Tamandua tetradactyla: one gene and its partner. The protein of the gene in region 1 purifies or fractionates together with the protein of each later gene. This does not show direct contact. Links are inferred from orthologs where the notes say so. Each region holds a gene or a part of one and is shown on either strand. Other genes may lie near its edges.

Region 1 (10,807 bases):
TACAGGTACCTATCTGGGAAAGCTTCCCAAAGGGGATATCTAAGTTGAGTTTGGAAAATGTGGAAGAACTAACCAAGTAAGAAAGAGATAAAAGGTTATTCCATAAAGAGAAAACATAATATGCAAAAGCCTGGAGACCAAAGAAAGCAGGTGAATTTGGGGAACTGTAAATAGTTTAATTAGGCTGGATTGCAGGACTGGAGAAGAAGAGTATTGGCATATGAGGCTAGTAAGGTGGGCAAGAATCAAATGTGGTATTTCCTGAATGACAGGCTTAGTATGGATTTTATCCTAAGACAATGGTTCTTCAACTTTAGCATGCATCCCAATAACCTGGAGGGCTTGGTAAAACACACATTGCTGTGCTCCACCCCAAAGTCTCTTGACTCTGTAGGTTTGGGATGGGGCCTGAGAATGTGTATTTCTAACATGTCCCCAGGTGATGCTGATGCTGCTAGTCTGGAGACCACACCATCACAAGGCAATGAGGAGTCACTGAAACGCTTTAAGGAGAGAAGGAAGAGAGAGAGACTTGTGTCTTTCTAAGATGAACCTGCCTAGGGAATGAATTGGAATTAGGAAGCCCAGTAAGGAAACTGGTACATCAGTCCAGGGGTGAGATGATGAACCCTGAGATGGAGCAGGCCCAGTAGGGACAGGACAGGGGCTGGCAAAAAGTAGATATCTAACAATTGTTAAAAAGGTCCACCTGGAAGACGAGGAAGTTACGAGCTTTGATGAGAATACCCAACTTCTCTAATTCTTCACTGTATTCATGTAGTTGGACCACTTTGTTGTTGATCTTGTACTCAGAAGAACCCCCTGCAAGACAATACATGAGTCAGCTGAGGATCATGCCTCCTTCCTACCCCAACCAATTAGTCCAGCCACCTCCTAGAACCCAACAAGAAACTTCTGGCAAGCCTCACTCACCAACAATAACACGGGCAAAGGTACGGTCCTCAGCCCCCTCCTCAGAGTAGACCATACTGACAAAGGCCCGGTTGGCAGCTGGCTTGCCTACAGGAGCTCCATGGATCAGGTCCCGCAGGGTCTTTACCCGCAGGTTGCTAGTCTTTTCACCCAGCACAAAACTGATGGCATCCATGAGATTTGACTTACCTAAGAGAAGAGGGAACAAAGCAGAAGAGGGACGTCAGGAAGAAAGAAAAAGAGTAAAGGAAGCATTGACAGAGCAGGAATGTTTCCTAATCATCCAGTGATCAGACTAATGGAAGAGTACTCATAAAGACTGTGTCCAACCTAAGTGCTGGGTCAAAGGCTTAGGAAAATAGTCCTGCTGCAGTTGTTATTCATAATAAACAAAACTAGAAACCCACATAAGGAAATGGTATCTTCACAGAATGGATTGTTCTTTAACCTTTAATGATGTGGGTTCATGCCAATTGGTGAAACAAGCAAAATCCAAAAGTTAATATACACTTTGACTGCAACCATGTCAAAAAAAAAAAAAGGCATGCTCCTCTTGTGATGAAATATGAAGTACACAGCATCATCTATGAAGTATTTGGCCAAATCTAAATCTAAACAAACCCTTAGACCTACTTTCTAGTTTGCAGGTAATATAGCAGATAGCAAAATATGGTAAATGACACCATGAGGAAACTTTCAGACAAACACAAAACTTTCTATAAGATAACTGGCCTGGTCTTTTCAAAAAGTACCTTTAAAAAAAAAAAAAAAGGCCAGGGGAATTGTTCCAGAACACAAGAGATTACTGAGACATAACCAGATGCAGTACACAAACTTTGATTGGATCCAGCCCCCCCCCCCCCCCCCCCCCGCAAAACCAAAAAAGACATTCTGGGTGCATTTAGGGAAGCTTACATATAAATATCATGATGTAAGGAAACTGATTTTCTTAGGTGTGATAATGGTATAGTGGTAATATAGGAAGATGATGATTTTAGGAGAAGAATACTGATGGACTAAGGGGTAAAGATTCCCATTAAGTCTGCAATTTACTTCCAATGATTAGGAAAAATACATACATATGTTTGGATATTTTCATAATATAAACGAGGGGAGAGGAAGGCACAAGGAAAAAATATGAAAATGTAAACAGTTTAACAATGGCTGCTTCTCGGGAGGAAACTATGAAGCTGAGAATGGGAAATCTCCTTTTTATTGTATACCTTTGAGATCGTTTGAATTTTATACCACGTATTAGCTACTCAAACAAACAAACAAGACTTTTAACATTATGAGTGGCTATGTTTTCAGTAATGGAGTTAGAGTTTTTGTTTTCTTTAGCTTATAATCAGAAAAAAAATTTTTTTCTTTTAAAGTTTAGACAGGAATTATGTGGGGGGTATTGGAGAGGAACAGTTTAATCACTATAAATTCTATCTCAAGATACTTCCCAAACATGTCATATGATAGACTGAGGTCCTGATTTCCATTGCCTTTCCACCTAGTCATAAAAATGACACTGGAAGTCCTTCCTTGCAAGCAGTATAAGACAGTGATCAGGCACTAGTAAAACAGACCAAGTTCTAATCTTAGTTTAACTACCTCTTACTGTGTAACCTTGAACAAACTGCTTACTATTTCTGACCTTCCATTCCTTCGTCTGGAAAATACAAAAAAAAACATCACTTATAGGTAAAGCATCTAAAACAATGCTTGGCACAAAATTCTCTGTTGGAGCAGCAGGAGCATAGGCTTTGAAGAACAATGGCAATGTCTGAGGGACTATCCAGCAAGTTATCACAACTCTTTATGTCTCAGACTCTTCATCTATAAAATGGGGATAATGGCATCTCCTTCCTAGGATCATTGTGAGAATTTAAATGTAAAGGATCCCAATAACTAAAATACCTGACACACAGTAAGTACTCAGTAATTGTTGGTCCTATTCTAACTCAGGTCTGGACCCTTAGCTCTGTCTACCTCATCACAGCAGGACTACAGCACATCACAGAGACTAGGAGTCAGCCTTTTAGGCACCAATTTCCAACCTTTGGGTTTCTTGAATGCTCTCCAGGGATGATGAGAATATCTCACAACCAAAGGTCTCTCTACACACAATTATTCAATATTGCAAAATTTTCATAACATGTAATATGATCTGGAAACTAGAATTACAAAAATAACAAAACATTTAAAGGAATGTCTCCTTCAGAACACTCATAGACCAGTGATACAAAGATACAAAAATATATATGATGAATACAAGACAGAAGAAAATAAACACCGTGTCCTAAGTGTCTATTGTGTATCAGAGAGGAAGAGCAATTGTTGATTGAGGGGAATCAAGGAATGCCTTCTGGAGAGATGAACCTTGAAGAATATGGTTGCGGAGGGAGTAGTCGGGCTAAGGGCCTTTCTGAACTGCTGAGGGGACTGAGTGTCAAGAGGTACATCCTGGCTCTTTCCACAGAGGTCACTGCACCAAAACCCCAAGAAATTGGAATGGGACCCGCCCCTCAGTATTAGCTAGTCTAGACTAGCAGTTCTTGAAGGGGGGACAGAGGTTGTGATTTTGCCTGCCAGGGGTCATTTGGTACTGTTTAGAGATATTTTTCATTGCCACACTCAGGGAACGAAGGTGCTTGTGTAAATCTAGAGGACAGAATCAGGGATCCTGCCAAACATCCAACAATGCACAGGAATGTCCCCACAACAAAGAATCTTCCCAACCAAAATGTCAATAGTGTTGCTGTTGAGTAACCCTGGTTTGGGCAAAGCCAGGTAGGAATCTAGGAAAGGTATTCAGTATGAGGTACTTCAGCAAAGGCTAGAAAATTATTCAGGTAGAACATCTCTGGGGTGAAGCAGTACAGCAGGATTCAAATGGACCACTTCTGGGGTTAAGTGGGAGAACCCATGGTGCATCATTTAGAGATGGGGAGTTGAGATATGACACAGATGCCTCACCTGACCACCTTTTCTTTCTAAAGACACCCTGCAAATCACTCTACCACATCAACGGCTGGTCTTATTTCTTTCAAACCACCCATCACAATCTAAAATATCTTCTTTCCTCCTTCTTTGTCATCGTCTTTCCCCACTAGGATACTAAGTTCCTAAGAGCACAGACTTGTATTTCGTTCTCCGCTGTTTCCACAGCACTTTAGACAGCCCCTGATAAGCAGTTAGCATTAAAATATTTGGTAAGCGAATGAGTACCGGCTTTGGACAGTTTCAGTGGTAGGTACGGGGCAAGTCTGAGGCACCACACCACTGAAGTGAAAGGAGAAGGGGATCCAAGCACTCTGAAGACGCGAGATTCAAAAGTGCCGCCTCCTGAGAAAAGTGAAAAAAGGCGGCTTTGGGGCATACCAATGCGAGGCAGAAGGGGATGCTGAGCTAAGGCTCACCGTTTAGTACCAAAGGCCACGGGAGGAGATTACCAACCATCCTACAGCTTCCGGAGGGATGAAGCGGGGTAAGGGAAGCCTGTGCCAAGGGGGTTGAGCGGGAGGGGTAGTGGGCGGGACAAAGTAGAGTTCGGCCGGTACCACTTGGGTTAGAGCGGGGCCGCTCAAAGCGCGGGTAACTGACACTCGGGAAAGAGGTTCGCGTCAAAGCACCCAAGCAGGGAGAGCGAATTCGGGCCGAACTCCTTCAGGAGGAATAAGGAAACCCGTAGGGTTTGCAACTTTTCAGGTGGCACGGACTGGGCTGTACTACTCTGCCGCCGGACAGGGGATCCAGGCCGGGACCAGAGCTGGGCCGCAGCCGGGTTTTTCTCACCAGAGCCATTGGGTCCAATGATGGCGGTGAACCTCTGAAATGGTCCTATGATTTGTCGCCCCTTGTACGACTTAAAGTTCTCGATCTCAATCAGTTTCAGAAAACCCATGGCGGCAGCGGTACGAGGAGCCGCGCCGTACGCCAGGGAAGTGGGGTAACCTGCGCGGGAAACACCGCAGTGCAGGCCGGGCGGACGGCAATCCTCGCGAGAAAAAGTCCAAGCCAAACGGGATTTCCTACTTCCGTCGCGAGCAGGAAATAAAGGGCGGGGCCTTTGGTCTGGAGTGGAGATTTTGTTAATCTTTTGCCGGGGCGTGAGATTACGGCGGGTGGTTGGGTCCCGCCTCCTTTTCTTGTTGCCGTGGCAACACAAACCGCTGCAGTCGCCGGCCAAGTCTTAGAGGAGGCAGTGCGGAGAGGTCTCAAAGCGAAGTTTAGCATCTGAGGGGGCAGGCGGGCCCAGAGCCCACGCCTGCTGAGAAGTTCAGAACTCACAGCAGGGTCAGGCTCCTCAGGGCAAGAGTAGGGTGGGAGCTAGGCTCTTGCCTTTAGCTTGTTCGGCCAAAAGGCTTGAACAAAAACTGGGTCGGAAATTGGAAGGACCCCGGGGAGGGGCGGGCTGAACCAGGAGGGTGGGAGGAAGGATTCCGAATTCGGTGAGTTTAGACCTTGTCTAGGGTGGGACGGGGTTTGAAGCGAGATGGGAGTGTGAAGGGCGCTGGGGGGTGGGGGTGGACTCCGGGTGGCAGAGATACGGACTAGTGAAGGTTATGACCTGACGTACTGCCCTATCCACTGCCTTCCGCCTCCCGTCCTCCAAAGTTGAGAGACTGCCGCTGTATTCGAAGAACAGATTTGAACCTAAACCACTTGACTACTTGAAACCAGATTCAACCTGGAAGCTTCAAAACGGAAACTCCTGACTGAGAAAGGTATTTTGTGTGTACCTCCGGAAGTCAGTATCCCTAAGTCAGTGCTCCCCATCTCATTCTTCCTCCCTTCTCCGTCTGGCTCTCCTTTCATGCCTCCCCCTTCTCTTTCCCTCTATTCCATTCCCCTCTATGCCCCATCCCTTGTTTGCCCCCTTCTTCCCACTCTGCTTTGTCCCCTTCTCCTACTCACACTCTCCCCTTTAACTTCCTTCCTCAGGGTAGGGAGGGATTTTGTAAATAAAAACTACTAAGCTTAAAGGAGAAGATTGGTAAAACTGACTACATTCAAATTCATCAAAATACACTATGAGAAAAGTGAAAAAATGGGTAAGTGCCCAGAGAAAACTTCTTAAGTATTGATAATGTTCTGTTTTCTGGGTGCTGTGGAGGATTTACAGGTGTCCATTTTATCGTTGTGCTTCATAACTTCCATGTGTGTTAACCATATCCCTTTGTATGCATTGTTACCATAAAATTAGTATAAAGTAATAATAAAGTGAAAAGATAAGCCACAAATTTGGAAAAGAAAGTCTGCATTATAAAGTGTTGGCAAGTATGTGGACTGACCAAAACTATATACAGTACACTGCTGTAAAAGTGTAAATTGGTATGATTTCTTTTGGAAACAATTTGGCATTATCTTGTAAAGTTAAATACACATACACCATATGGTCCAGTACTTCCACTCTTAAATCTATGCTAGAGAAACTCTCCTACCTGTATGTACATCTCTTTTAATCTAAAAGTTCTTCCTCCTCTTTCTCTTCTCATTTTTTTTTTAATAAACTGGGTTGTTCGTTCTGCAGAGTCCTAATCTCTCTTGAACCTATTTAAATCAAGCTTTCATCCCCACGGTTCTACCAAAACTGTTCTTGTCTAGGTCATCAGTGACACTGATGTTACTAAATCATTCTGTTCTCAGGCCTTATCTTACTTAACCCATCATCAGTTAGTTGATCACTCTCTCCTCCTAACAGTACTTTCTTCACTTAGCTTCTAGGACACCATACTCTTCTGGTTTTCTCTTACCTTACTAACTACTACTCCATCTTAGCATCCTATGCTGCCTCCTCCTCTCCCTGTCTCCCCTCCTCTAACTTCCTAATATTCTCAGGCAATCTTAGCTATCTACCCTCACTCCCTTAGAGATTTAATACAGTCTTATAGCTTCAAATTCCCTTGTTTCAGTCAGGATAGGCACAATTATGCTGGGGTAACAAACAATCCCCAAATCTCAGTAGTTTATAAAAACAAAGGTCTATTTCTTACTCATGCTTCTTCTCCAGTGTGGGTTGGCTGCATCTCTGCTCTATATCATCTATCCAGAACTTAGGCTGAAGAAGTAGTCCTTGCCTGGGACAGTATCATAGCAGAGAGTGAAGAGAAAAAAAATAAGTGACAGATCATGTAATGATTCTTAGTTCTGCCTGAGAATGACACATGCCAGTTTTTCACATTGCATAAGGCAAAGCAAATCACGTGGCTAACCCTGACGGCAATGAGGTAGGGCTGTATAATCCTTCTGTAGAGAGCAGCAGCACATGTTTCTGAACAATAATAAAATTTACCACAAAACTTGTATGTCATTAATTCACAGATTCATATTCTTAGCTCATACTTCTCTCCTAAACTCTAGACATTTCCAACTCTCAAACATATCCTAAACTAATCTCTTGATTATCCCTCCACACCACACTTGTTCTACCTACACAGACTGTTCACTTGATACCAACTCCATCCCTCATGATTGCTCAGGCCCAAATCCTTTAAATCATTCTTGATCTCTCTGTCTCACACCTCACATCCAATCCATAAGAAAGTCCAGTTGACTCTGCCTTCAAATATATCTGGAATCTATCGTCTTCCTGCCACCTCTGCTGCTACTGACCAGATCTAAATCACCATCATTTCTTTCCTGGTCTACTACAATAATATCCTGACTGGTCTTCCTGCTTCCCTCCCTTCAGTCTATTCTCAACAAAGCTGCCAGATTAACCCTTTAAAAATCAAAACCAGGACTCATCATTACACTGTTCAAAACCCTATTCATTTCTCTCAAAGCCTTTACAATGACCTACAAAGCCCTACATGATTTAGCCGCCCATTTTCTGTCATTTCCTACCTACCTCTCCTTCACCCACTCCAGCCACACCTGCCTCTTCGGTGTTCCCTTGAACATGTGCCTCGCATGCTTACACCTGAAGGCCTTTGCACTTGTTCCCTATCTGGAATGCTTTCCCCTCAGCTAATTAGGTGGCTAGTCCCCTCACCTTCTTCAGGTATTTGCTCAAATGCTACCTTTTAATTATGTCCCCCCTCACTTCCATATTTAAAATTGTAATACTGCCCCATTTCCTGGGCATTTCCAATCCCCTTTATATCCTGTTCTATTTTTTTTCCCATAGCATTTATCTTCTTACAAAATATTTAATGTTTTACTCTACGGTCTGTCAGCCCCCACTAGAAAGGAGCTTACACAGGGGCCAGGACTTTTGTCTTTTCTTGATGCCTCCCACAAGCTTAAAGTAATGCCTGATCATTAGAAGGCACTCCATAGATATTTGGTAAACAACAGAATGAACGCTGAGTGAAAAAAGCAAAATGCAGAGGAATTCAGAATGACATAAGTTCAAAAACAAGAAAACTAAAAAAATATTGTTCAGGAAATCATAGATACACCAAGTATATTTATAAGTGATAGGGAATGGTAACATTTTGGATGGGATGAGAGTGAGAAAGAAGAGATACAGGACACCTCAGCATTATCAATAATGTTCTTAAGTTGGGGACTTGGTACATAGGTCTCTATTTTAACATACTTTCTAACTTACATATGAGTTATATCTATTCTGTTGTATATATCAAATATCTCACATTGATAAAATGGTGAAACAGTGAGCAGGAACTAGCTATAGGAGTTGAAGAATGGAAGAACACCATCTGTAAAGGCCCTGAAGTGGGAACAGTTATTCTGCTGGAGGAGCTGACAGGAGGCAAGTCCACGTAGAGCACTGTGAGAAGGGGAGACAGTAGTATGAGGCGAAGTAAAAAGGTCTGCACAAACCAGATCTTGAGAGCCACAGGAAGGAGTCTGGATCTGATTCTCAGGGCAGTGGGAAGGAATTGGAGGATTTTAAGCAGGTGAGAGGCATAATCAGATTCCTTTGAAAGTTTTTTTACTGGCTTTGGCTGGCCCACAGGCAAAAAGAAGGATTCCCCAAATAAGATGGAACATGGGCAAATTTAAGACCTCAAGCCTCTCATTTGACTAGAGAATAAGAAATAAAAATAAAGAAAGGGGAAATTTTATTTTAGGCAAGAAAGCTTACTCTGGTTTCTGCATGATTCTGTGGGCTATAGGAGACAACAGAGGAAGCTGGAGATCAAAATGGAGACTTGCAGTAATCCAGGAAGGTGATGATGGTGGCTTGTACCAGACAGACTCTATCCCAAACAGACTGAGGATATATTTTGAAAGAAGAGGGAGTGAGGGAAAGGAGTATCAAAAGATACCTACTGCATTTCTGACCTGAGCAACCTAGTGAATGGTGGTGCCATTTACAGAGATGGTGAAAACGGAGTAAAGCATAATGAGAATGAGGGAGTGTTGTAAATGAGTTTGAGGCTAGAAGTGAGCAGGAGTCAGATCATGAAGTCTCTTATACATTGGGCAAAGAGGTGGGACTTTAACTTGTAGGAAATAGGTACAAGGTTTTAAGCTGAGGAATACCATGGTCAGATTTGCTTCAGAAAGATCACTATGGTAGTCAAATCAGAGAAAACTAGAGAATGCAACACTGGAGCTAGGGAAGCCAGTGAGGCTCCTTGGCATAACAGTCTGTCACCAAATTGTGAGGCTAAGGGTGGTGACAGCAGAGTTGGAGGACACGGATATGAAATATATTAGGAAGTAAAATCAGTAGGAATCAATAACTGGTGGGATATTGTAGGGAGAAAGAAAGGGGGAACATAATCGATGATGAGCAACACTGATTGGCCATCCACCTCACCCTTGCTCCAGGATGCATAAGGTAGACCTGTCTTCAGATCCTAAGGAGGCAGCAGCCATTGAAGCTAGAAGAAACCGAGAAAAGGAACGACAGAGCCAATTCTTCAATGTGCGGAACCGAGTTATAGGGGTGAGTGGGCAGCAGAGACTATTTCTTAGAACCATGGGCTATCCCACTCTTGCACTTGGAGAGGGACATACCAGGACCAACTGTAGCCCTTACCCTGACTTAAGCAGGCCCTAGGGCTGGAAAGAAAGGAGAGGGGGAGAAGACACCCACCTCACTGGCCTGGGAAGGGCCTGAGGGGTGGGGGGGTTACAGGGAAAAAGACTGGGGAAGGGGGGCTAGTGACAGCTAACTCTTCTTGGGTTAGCTCTGGGCCATATGCCCTGGTTCTTGAGAGAGAGTAAACATGGAGACAAAAATGGTCTAAAGAATATTTGGTTTTGAGTTGTATATGTTAGTACAATACAGGTGTATTTTTGCTGTTAAAAGGAATATTTAGTATTATATAATGCCTAAACTACATTTGGAAGACTATACAAGAAACTGTTAACCAGACCAAGGGATAGAGATGGGAGGGACACTTATTTTTCATAATCTGTGTTCTTTTTCCTATTTTGAAATGATTTAGATGAATTATAATGAAAATATAAATAGAAAATATTGATAATTTAACAACAACAACAAAAAGACTGCTGGGTTAGTTGATGGAGGAAATGCTGCATGGTACTCTGGGAGTGACACCATATGTATGTTCAAAGGCCAAGTCTGCTGTTATTAGATGTGCGACTTTGGATAAGTCACCTGTCTTCTGAGTTCCAGGCCCCTCCTATGTAAAATGAGGCTAAGAAAAGGAAATGTTGAGGAAATGATTAACATAATGGCAGCAGCTCTGAAAACTTGAGCTAGAGCCTGACAAGAGTAAGTAGTCTGCTGAGGGGTGAGTGTTCTAATTCAGATCCAGTTAGCAAACGTTTTCTCAGGGCCTGCTCTGTGCACCAAGCACTGTGTTGGGCAGTAGGGATACAAAGATGACCAAGGCTCAGTCTTTGCCCTTAAAGGGCTCATAGTCTAATAAATGAGATAATAAATGTAGGCAAACTTCCATGTAATGTGGACAGTAGGTCCTAGATTCTGTGGCAA
Region 2 (10,562 bases), on another chromosome or scaffold:
TCTCAGGCCACCTCTCTGACCCCTGTGTACAGCTGATTGCCACAACAGGTGGAGGCTAACAGCCTAGCCTGGACTTCCCAGAGGATCTCTTACTTCTCTGCTGCCAAAGATCTGGGAAGCCTGTGGGAGCTGTTCAGCTTCATGGCACAAAGGTCAACCTGGAAGAGTGAGGGACTTTCCACCCCCCTGGGGCAATCCTTGACCTATGGGGGATGGAGCCACTGGGTAATATTCCCCTCTTCCAGGTCTCAGGTGGTCAGTTCTGACGCACATTTTACCCTGCCTCCAAGTCCCCAACAGGACCGAGCACCAGTTACCCGCCATGGTGACTAGCTCAATAACTCATCTAGGATTGAATTACCTTCCTTCCCTTTGTCACTATTCCTTTTGTCACTATTCCACCTCTGTTCCCTAGGTACCTTTCCAAAATAAACGCCTATACACAGAGTCCCAGTCTCGCTCTCAGCATTTTCAGCAACCCCAAGCCAGACAGTGATTCAAATCCCAGCTCTGCCACTTACTATAAGACAAGTTCTCCATTCCTGTTAGTGCTAGGGGAGGGGCATAATTAGCACAAAGGTGGCATGGCACCATGCGTCCCTAATGTCCCTAAGCACACCTAGTAGTACTTCAAAAATATGAGTAACAAAGGTAAAAGGAAATGAAATGGTAGCTAAATAAGGGAAGGCAGACTATAACTGCCGCATTTTATGATATAGACTCTGTGTAGACCTTCAGAGGAAAGGATGAAGTCAAAGCAGAAAAGGGTGGCCAAGAAAGAGCCCTGAAGGATGAACAAGAGAAGAAAGTGGTCTTGGAAAAGGAAATTAGTCTCACCCACTGAAAAAACAGACACTGGTCTCCCCAGAAGGGCAATCTAAAAATGGAGAGGAGGGAAGGCAAAGTATGTTCCCATCAAGTAGAGTCTCAACAACCAGAGAGATTGAGGTTTGAAGGTGGGTCTGGGACATGGAAAAACCAAACCTCACTTGTGGTGGTTTGGAGCAGCACATGCCCCAGAAAAACAAGTTCTCAAACTTGCACCATTCCTGCGGGTATGAGCCCACTGTAAGGACTTTTGATGAGGTAAAATGTGCCCCACCTCAATCTGGGTGGATCTTACTCCTATTACTGGAGTCCTTTATAAGCAGAATGAAATTCAGACAGAAAGAGAGAGAAAAACCATGAAAATCAAGATACTGACAGCGGAGTCTGGAAGAGAAGGGACAGGCCACGAGAGGCCACCACGGGCACTGCCACGTGACAGGGAGCCCAGCGCCCAGGACCACTGGCAGCTGGCCCCAGAGTGCCAGTCTTGGAGAAGAAAGCATCACCTTGATGACACCTTCACTTGGACTTTTTTCCTTCCCTCAAAATCAGCAGCCATTAAATTCTCATTGCTTAAGCCAGCCCACTGCACGGGATTTACTCAAACAGCCGAGGAAACTAAAATATTACTCACTCATCTCAAAATAACTGCTATTGAGCACCAACATGCTAATCCCTAGAAGGTGGAAACAGAGGAAGGAGGGGAATACTGAAAAGAGTTATCACACTGTCGGCTCAATATTCAAAGCCCACAAAGGTGAAAAATGGCAAAAATGTGAACATGGTGCCTTAGACACAGTAGGTACATTGCAAAAAATCAGTGATACACAGTCTACCTCCATACCACCTTAAACCTACTACCCACACTAGCTTTCAATAACTGATACATAAAATTAAGATCCTTTTCCAGGTATGCAAGACACCCCATCATCTACTCTCCACTTCTTGTTTCTTGCCAAATCAATCTTTTTTCTTTCAAATACATTACAGGCAAATAACAAGAAAACATTCACATTTTATGCATTTGCACGTGTAAGTTTTCCCTGCCTGGAAGGTTGGGCTCCTTTATTTCTAGCCATCACTATCTATGATCTTCAAAAACATCCACTGCAAGAAAGTTGGGGGATTTTTCACTCAACTAGTCTCGATCTTTTCTCAACCAAAGTTCCACAGTCCCATAGCACTTGTGGAATAAAGTTTCTGGCATGTTTTGCACCAATGGATTTTGCTCTGTGAGGTTCTTATAACAACGCAGGTACAAACTGGCACAAAGCAGGGGCTCAAGACACCCTACTAGATTCCTGACAAAGTGTTAAGTACCACAAGGAAAGACCTTGCATTATCACGCACTGTGCTTTAAGCAAACTTGTTATAAAACCTTCCCTCTCTTCCTCCCTTAAAACATAAATAATGAAATATACTGATGCACTGGCTTTGTAAATAAATCCAGTCACCTCCAAGGAACTATTGTGATATGAGGGAAAATATTTTATATGAGACAAGATGATTCCAAAATAGTGTTTGACACATGGTAAGCACCAATAACTATTAGTGGAAATGAATTTTTTAAATTAGCGTTCTCTCACACCTGCCACACACTATGTGGTAAAGATTCCCAAAAAGAAAGTTTGTAAGCAGAACTTGAAAAGCCAACCAAACCAAATGTAGAGAAAGTAGTTTTGCTAATTTTACACACTGTGCTCTCCTGAACACTCAGTCCACTTTCTTCTTCCTGAAGTTCACAATTGGTCAATTGTTTAAGTTAGGTGGGACCATTATCCCTCTTCACCCTTAGGAGTTGCTGGTGGGAAGACACCCAACACTGGAAACAAAATCTCAAAGTGTCACTTTCATATACTTTGTTGATAACACGATTTAAAGGCACTGCTGACAGTTGTCTTATTAGTACCACCACTATATATTAAATACACAAGGCATTAAATACAACCATTTCACTTCATTCTACATGGATCTCTTTGAAAGAAAAAAATAATTAACAAAAGGTGAGATTTTATCACCAAATGATCTGGGATTCACATAAAAGAAAAGCTAAACATCACAGAAAGGATACTAATTCTGGGGTTCCAATATACCAAAGAAAATTGCTTGGAAACCAACCAGCACCAACTCACAAGATAATAAAGAATGCTTTGGAAAATGTGTCACTCATTTGTTTTTGCTTTTACTTTTTTTTTCCCCCTCCAATGAGGGGGAAATACATAATATGAATAAATGTGTTGAACTATCGTGAAGTCTCAGTCGTCGCAATCAATGCACCTCCAAACGCTCTGGGATCTGCTGGGCGACACATGAGATCTAAAGTGTGTGGATAAAAATAACCCGGTCCTCAAAAAGACATGAGAAACGCCAGACAGCTGAGTCACTTGGAAGCCCATTTTGACTTGTGAAAGGAGCATTCACCCTAGGTCTCATCACACTCACACGCGCACGCACGCGCGCGCGCACACACGCAGCTAAACCCACCGCCAAGCGCCCTGGGTAGCGGGCGGTGATCGAGCCTCACTTCCCTCCAGTCTCTGAGGTCACGACTTGGGATTGAACTTTTAATCATTGATATTTGTGCATATCAGTTCCAGCGGCCTCCTTTTTAAGGGGTGAGGGAAAGGCCTTAATGACCCATTCGACCCCGCAATTCTGCTGGAAAGGAGGTGTGGAGGGGAAGCGGGTAGTGGAGGCAGCCCCCGCTCCCGGGGTACCTCAGACCCGTCCCGGAGTGGGGAACCTTGGGCCAAGCGCCCCGTCCCAGACTCAGGGCAGGCTATGTCCGGGGTGGGGGTCAGTCTCTGCATCCACCACCCCCAATCCTCGCCTGAGGGCGCGTCCCCAGCAGCGGGAATCTCTCACGCAGCCAACCTCACTGGGCGGGCGAACTGCGGCGGGGACGCGGCCCGGGCCAGAGGAGGCGCCCGCTCGGTACTGGCCGAGCCGCGGGGCCCTAGCCCGGCCAGCGCGCGGAGGCGAAGGTCCCCGGCCGCCCCGCGCCCTGCTGCCGCCGCCTCCAGCACCACTGCCCCGGGCCCCGTGATCCTTCCACGTACCGGGGAGTCGTAGGAGAAGGCACACTCGTTCTTGTAGACCCGGTCCCCGGACCTGGGCACGCGAATCGTGGGCATATGGGGCACCAGCAGCTCGCCCAGGTCCCCCGCAGCCATCTTCCTGCCGCCCGGGATGCCGAGCAGGGCACCCCGCCGCTGCATGCTTGCGCCGAGCCGAGCTGGGTCTGCCCGCGCCGTGGAGCGGCCGGGCCCGGGCGGGCGGCCGGAGCGGAGCCGGGCGGGGAGGGCGGCGATGGGCGGGAGCGGGTACCCGGGCCTGGGGCGGGGAGTGGGGGGGACGCTGCTATTTTTACTCCAATGGCGGAGCGCCGGCCCCGCTGCGGCATCGGGCGGGGCGCGGGGTGGGGGGGCGCCGGCCGCAGCGCACCGGGGAGGGTGCGCGGGGGCCTGAGAGGGTCTCCGCTAGGCTGTGGGGGACAGAGAGGGACGGATGGGGACTAGGGGTCTGGTGGGGGGTGGAGGGCGTACCCAGAGCCTTGGCACGGAGGAGGAAGCTGGAGGGAGCCCCGGAAAGGAGACCGGGGGGCTGCGCCCCCCAACATCTCAGGGCCGATCGCGGTCTTCTCTGTCATAAACCTCAGGGTGACCGGGAATACCTCCGAGGCAGCCTCCACAAGGAGCGGCATCTGGGGGTCTTTGAAAAGGCTGATTTTCTAAACGGCCGAAAATAGGAGCCGGGTCTTGGTGGGCCTGGGTAGGGATGGAATTCGCTGTGACGATCCAGAGTCTAACGTAGCAGCCCAAATCCACATCTGCCTGGTGCACCTCGGTTTTGCCTCGCCAAGCATTGTTCTTCACTTAAAAAAAAATCCGAAGCTCAATAAAAGAGAATAGAATAAGATCTGATGAGAATAGAGGCATATTTTGCATTAATAGACGTTTTTCTTGCATTTTGGGGGGAGTGGTTTTTTGCAGGGCGAGAGAAGTTTTTAACTAAAATTTTCTCTACCTTTGGAACGTCTTACGCGCGTTTCAAGGTCCGGGTTTAGAACTTTAATGGCCAGATCTGGAGTCCTATGCAGAACAGTACATATAGAACTGCCTTGCTCTTTCCGTTTCCCAAAATAAATAATGAATGGGTTTGGACTGGGAGGTTAGATATTTGTGAACAGAACATACCACACAGCATGCTCTCATTTTCTTTAAAAAAAAAAAAAAAAAGACTTTAAACTATGGGTTCTATTCTGTAACTACACTCAACTTACATACAAAGCGGAATACTATTACTCTACCAGTGAACAAAATTCAGAAATAGCAAGAAATAAAGTACACCAAAACACTGATTTCTATAAGCCTGTCCCAGATCAGCTAGTCCTTAAATTCCTCTTTCCTTTACATCATTTTTCTTTTACTCTTCCTGACTCTCCAGATCTGTGGGTTTCCTAGGAAGAAAGAGTTACCTGGAGTTTAATAGTACATAGACAGGCCAGCTTTCTCTTGCCTTGCTCCCTGTTGCACTAGTATTATCCCATCTTTGCGCAGATACTCTGAACCAGCTTTTATTTTGAATTTATTCTCACCAGCATATTACCTTCTAATAGTATCAGCACCTGCTGCAAGTTCATGGATGAAGAGTGCTTATTCAATTACAGAAGAAAACTTGATTCAAAACATTCAAAACTTGAAGTTTAAAATACTTTGAGATTAAATGTAAATTAAACCAATGAGACACATTTTTCATCCTTCAGGCTGATAAAGATACACCAAGTTGGGAAATGTATCCATCCTCAAATACATCGATGGAAGGAGTGAAAATGGTAAATCTCTTTGGTAGGAAATTTAACAAGACCAATCATACTGTATGTGCATATACTATTTTCCCCGCAGTTCCTCATCGGGACATTTATTCCACAGGTAAACTCACACTGTGTAGGGGTATCTGTTGGTATTTGTTCATAGTAATGAAAGAATGGGAACAATGTAAAGAGCTACCTGTAAGACATGGGTAAAATACAGTACCATTGAACAGGATGAAGGCACTCTGAATGCACTGATATGCAGAATCTCTGGTTACATTATTAGGTGAGAAAAGAGAAGTGCAAATCAGTGTGTAAAAGCAAGATACGTGCCAGGCTGGGGATATGCAGAAGAGCCTCTGGTACATCTTCTATACCAGGGACCTTTCTTTCAATTGTACAATAAGTGAATTAAATTTAATTTAATATTTAATTAAATTAAATTAAAATTATAAACATTGGCCCCCGATGTGTGTGTGTGTGTGTGTGTGTGTGTGTGTGTGTGTGTGCACGAACCATGCTGTTTGGCCAGGAAGGATACACAAGAAACTAGTGCAGTCAGCCTCTGTGGAAAGGAATAGGAAGGCCAAGGTTAGAGGGGGACTTACTACCACTCTCCTTTCCTGTACTGTTTACATTTTTATCATGCACAAGTATCGCTTTGAAAAATGATTAAAACTCAATTGTAAAAATAATCCAAGTTCAATACCTAGTAATATTAATAGAAGCTGAAGACAATTGTAGCATCATTATTAAAGTGCTTATAATGGCAAGCATGGAAAATGGTGATATTTGTGCAGCTCTCGGGAGGATACTTCTTGAAGCTGGAGGCTATTCGTGTGCGAGTGTCAGTCACTGCAGGCCAGGCAGGGGACTGGAGTCTCATCACAGCTGAATCCCATCTCTGTGCAGCAGAACTCCAATTGCACAACAGTTGGAAAATTCTAGGGAAAAATGGACCCCGTCTACTCAAAGATGTTTCTACAAATCTTAGAAAATATCCTTATTAAAATTACCATTTTCATATATTTGTAGTATGTTAGTTTAAAAAGAAACTTGCACAATAGCATAGCAACTGGGTAAAGGTAAACACACATGTTGAGAAGTCTGAAAAGACATGTACATATTTAATAGTTAGATTTAGAATTTGGTTATAGGATTTTTTTTCTATATTCCAATGTCTTCAATAATGTTACATTTGTTTTATAATATAAAAATGTATCAAGGGCGAGCAACCATGGCTCAGAGGCAGAGTTCTCGCCTGCCATGCCGGAGACCTGGGTTCGATTCTCGGTGCCTGCCCATGCAAAAAAAATGTATCAAGACAAAAAAGTTAGTAAAAGAAATATCACAGAATTAAGAGATTAAGTCTTAATCATGACATGTTTAGAGAAAAAAATCCCATTCCAACTACTGAATATTTTTACTTAATTTTTTAAGTTGCACATATGATTTATAACCAGATATTTTACTACTGGAACGGTTTCTAATGTGGATCTTGATCAATGAGCAAAAGTGAAGTAAGGATCAGTGAACAATTTTAACTTCCAACATAAGTTTAAAGAGATTTCAGAGAGCCTAAGACTAAGAACTGCATTTTTGCCAGGTTGAGATGTCCAGGCCACCACATGCTTTACTGGCCAAAGCCTCCTCCCCTAGTGTGCAGACAGGAGCCCGTGCACTCGAGCACCTTTCCAGTCTAGTACTCAGCTGTCCTTCAGACCTTACCCTCTATCCCTACACTTCTGGTAAGCTTGATTTACTGTCCCCTAAGAATAGATATATTTGTCTCCTGATAAAGGCCTTTCAAAGCTTAGTATTTATGTACTTGAAACTGTGGTATACCCCAGAACCATGTTCTTTCATCCTGACTCAACATTATTTAGGGTGGGACACATTGATTAGGCTGTTTCACAGAGATGTGACCCACCCAGTTGGGGGTGGGACTTTTAGATTAGGTGGTTTGCATGGCAATACATCTCCACCCATTCAAGGTGGGGTTGCTTATTGAAGTCCTTTAAGAGGGAACCATTTTGGAAAGAGCTCAGAGTCAAGAGAGACAAGGACAATTTGGAGATGCTTGGAGTGCCAACAGAGAGAGCAGACACCTTGGCACAGATGTGTGGAGATGCAGAGCCCAGCAGACATCACCATGTGCCTTCCCATGATATGCTAAGCAAACCAGAAGCCAGAAGGATCTATAGGGGCTGAGTGATCATTTTGAAACCAGAAGCCAGGAAAGAATGCAGATGCCAGCCACGTGCCTTCCCCTGTGACATGTGGCCTTTCTTGACTCAAGGTATCTTTCTCTGGATGCCTTAATTTGGACATTTCTATGGCCTTAGAACTGTAAGCTTGCAACTTAATCAATTCCGTTTTTAAAAGCTGTTCTATTTCTGGTATATTGCATTCCAGCAGCATTTAGCAAACTAAAACAGTATTTTTTCCATTAACCCTCTTCTGACTGCTCCAACCCTCAGTGACCTATTGTTAAAAATTGCAGCCCCTCTTGCCTACACCAGTTTTGGGATACTGCCTCGTGACATCTTTTGTACTATATTTAATTAGTCTTGGTTCCATGTCTGATCCCTCTATCTGGAAAGCAAACTCTGGAAGAAGTTACATTTCTTGATGTGACTCATGAAACCTTGTACATTGGGGGATGCTCAGTGTTTAGGAATATTGCCTGCCTGGAGTGGCTGTGCTCTGTTTATTTTCAACGCTAAATAAGTACCAAATGAAGGACTCGCATCAGTGATCTTGTAATAGATATATTTTGCAACCTACTTTGTGTTTTTTAGGTAAAATTCATTGCTGCACAAATATTATTCCAAGAACTGATGGAGGTTAAATTAAAATATGACATGAATATGACTAAAGCCATGAAGGGGAATTTGAATAATGGGAAAACTCGAGCTCAGATTTCTTCCAATAATGTGCAGTGATCTGGTAAAGTCATATATGGTAATAGCTTATTGTGGAGGCAGATCCATAAAATTCTGTATAAGGGCAGATAGCCTCCGCATGTAAAACAATAAGGCATTGGTTAAGAAATGTATGGCATTTCCTGTTTGAAAGAGTTCTATAAAGCCTTTTAAAATCATGTGGTATAAGAATATGCATTGACATGGAAAAATGATCACTATAATACAAACTTCAAAAGCAGACTGTAAATGAGCATATATATACTATTATTCCATTTAAGCACAAATGCACATATATACATATTCATAGCATGGCAAAAAGATTAGATTGTAATAAGCCATATGTTAACTGTGGTTATCTCTGGGTGATGAAATTAATCTTGGTTTTTTTTTTCTTTTGTGCTTTTCTTTGTTCTCTAAACCTTTTGCATTAAGCATCTATTTCTTTTTGTGAATAAGAGGGAAATAATTTATTAAAATACCACTGATCATATCAATTGTCCCTTTCATCTGCCCTCTTCTCTTACTTGCTGCCTCTTCACTACTCATTTAAAAGTGATCAGGTTTCTGCTGTTAGGTTTTTGGACAATCACCCTACTGAAAAGGTAGGTTCCCATTGGAACGAGCAGACTCTTTGAGTAGCTCTTAACTCAGATGAGGTAAGCTGTTATTCAGTTAGGAAGAAATCTGAGATGCCTACTCACCTTTTTGGTTTCCCGATGTGTAAGTCACCACAATCCTTTCAGGAGGCTGACTCATAAGGTACTCGCAGAGGTAGGCAGATTGTCTTTCAGACCATTCTGACAGCACTGTCCTCCTCATCCCATCACCATTCCCACACACACCCAGGACAACGTGTCCTCCACGCAGGCATAGAGGAGCTCTAGGTGAACACAGCAATAGAATACCAACCGCAGGACCAGGGGCTGCTTTTCAGGTTTCTCAATTAATGGGCAAAAGCAGCTATCTAAATACAATACACATCATCTCCAAAATCTTAAGAAGCTCAGCAAACATTGTGCCTCATTCTTGGTGAGCTCAAGACAAAAAACTTGCCCTTTGGAAGGAATTCACAGATTTTTCTAGAAGAGCAAACTCCCTGTTTTAGTCTCCTAGGCTGCTCAAGCAAATTTCATGAAATGGGTGGGTTCTAACAATGGGAATTTGTTAATTTATAGGGTTTTTTTTTCTTTTTTTTTAGGTGCATGGTCTGAGAGGAACCCAGGTCTCCCCCATGGAAGGCGAGCACTCTACCACTGAGCCACCATGCACCCCAGCTTAAAGTTTGAAGTAAAAGAAAGTGCAAATCAAGGTATCATCAAGGCAATGCTTTCTTCCCAAAGACCAGGCAATCCTTGGCTCCTCTACCACATGGCAAAGCATGTGGTGGCATCTGCTGGTCTCTCCCTTCTCTTCCAGTTTCATTGATTTCAGCTTCTTGCTTCTGTGGTTTTCTCTTTCATGTCTGAACTCTGTCTGCTTATAAAGGATTCCAGTAATAGCACTAAGACCCATCCTCATCGGTCTGGCCATACACACCTTAACTGAAGTAACCTCATTGAAAGGTACTGTTTAAAATGGGTCCACACTCATAGGAATGTGTTAGGTTTTAGAACACATTTTTCTGTTGTGCGTACAGCCTCAAACCACCAGAGTCCCCCTGGTTCTTTAGAATGTATTTTCTTATTCTTTGGGATGTATAACCTCAGTCTCAGGGCACCTGCACTTCCTGTTCTCAAGATTGTATCTGCACGCTGTCATCCCTGCAGGGATAGCATGATGTCCATGCTGTGGCCATGATCGAGAGCCAGAGAATAGCAGCCCATGGGCCAAATCCAGCCTGCAGCCTGCTGTTTGTAAATAAAGTTTTATGGACTTTATGGAACACAGCCACGATCCTTCATTTACTTATTGTTTATGGCTGCTTTTACACCCCAATGGCAGAGCTGATTCATTGCAACAGGGACCACATGGACTAAAACCCAAAATACCACTAA

What was found. Proteins that work in one complex are often made in the same cells at the same time.
Region 2: the proteins of SMC1A (region 1) and USP13 purify together in Homo sapiens (affinity purification with mass spectrometry; 5 studies listed by BioGRID and IntAct, with this or other methods). This does not show direct contact. The link is inferred for Tamandua tetradactyla from reciprocal best matches to the Homo sapiens genes SMC1A and USP13.

Annotation. Positions count from the first base shown.
Region 1 is NC_135353.1:116,101,146-116,111,952, reverse strand, and holds the start of SMC1A (structural maintenance of chromosomes protein 1A), read right to left. Parts: upstream 4,934-10,807; 5' UTR 4,829-4,933; coding exon 4,720-4,828; intron 4,440-4,719; exon of another isoform or gene 4,384-4,439; coding exon of another isoform or gene 4,344-4,383; intron 1,123-4,343; coding exon 934-1,122; intron 823-933; coding exon 710-822; intron 1-709. Other genes in the region: RIBC1 (RIB43A-like with coiled-coils protein 1), read left to right, coding at 9,674-9,790. UniProt on the Homo sapiens protein: Involved in chromosome cohesion during cell cycle and in DNA repair. Central component of cohesin complex. The cohesin complex is required for the cohesion of sister chromatids after DNA replication.
Region 2 is NC_135331.1:78,116,885-78,127,446, reverse strand, and holds the start of USP13 (ubiquitin carboxyl-terminal hydrolase 13), read right to left. Parts: upstream 4,096-10,562; 5' UTR 4,047-4,095; coding exon 3,888-4,046; intron 1-3,887. UniProt on the Homo sapiens protein: Deubiquitinase that mediates deubiquitination of target proteins such as BECN1, MITF, SKP2 and USP10 and is involved in various processes such as autophagy, endoplasmic reticulum-associated degradation (ERAD), cell cycle progression or DNA damage response.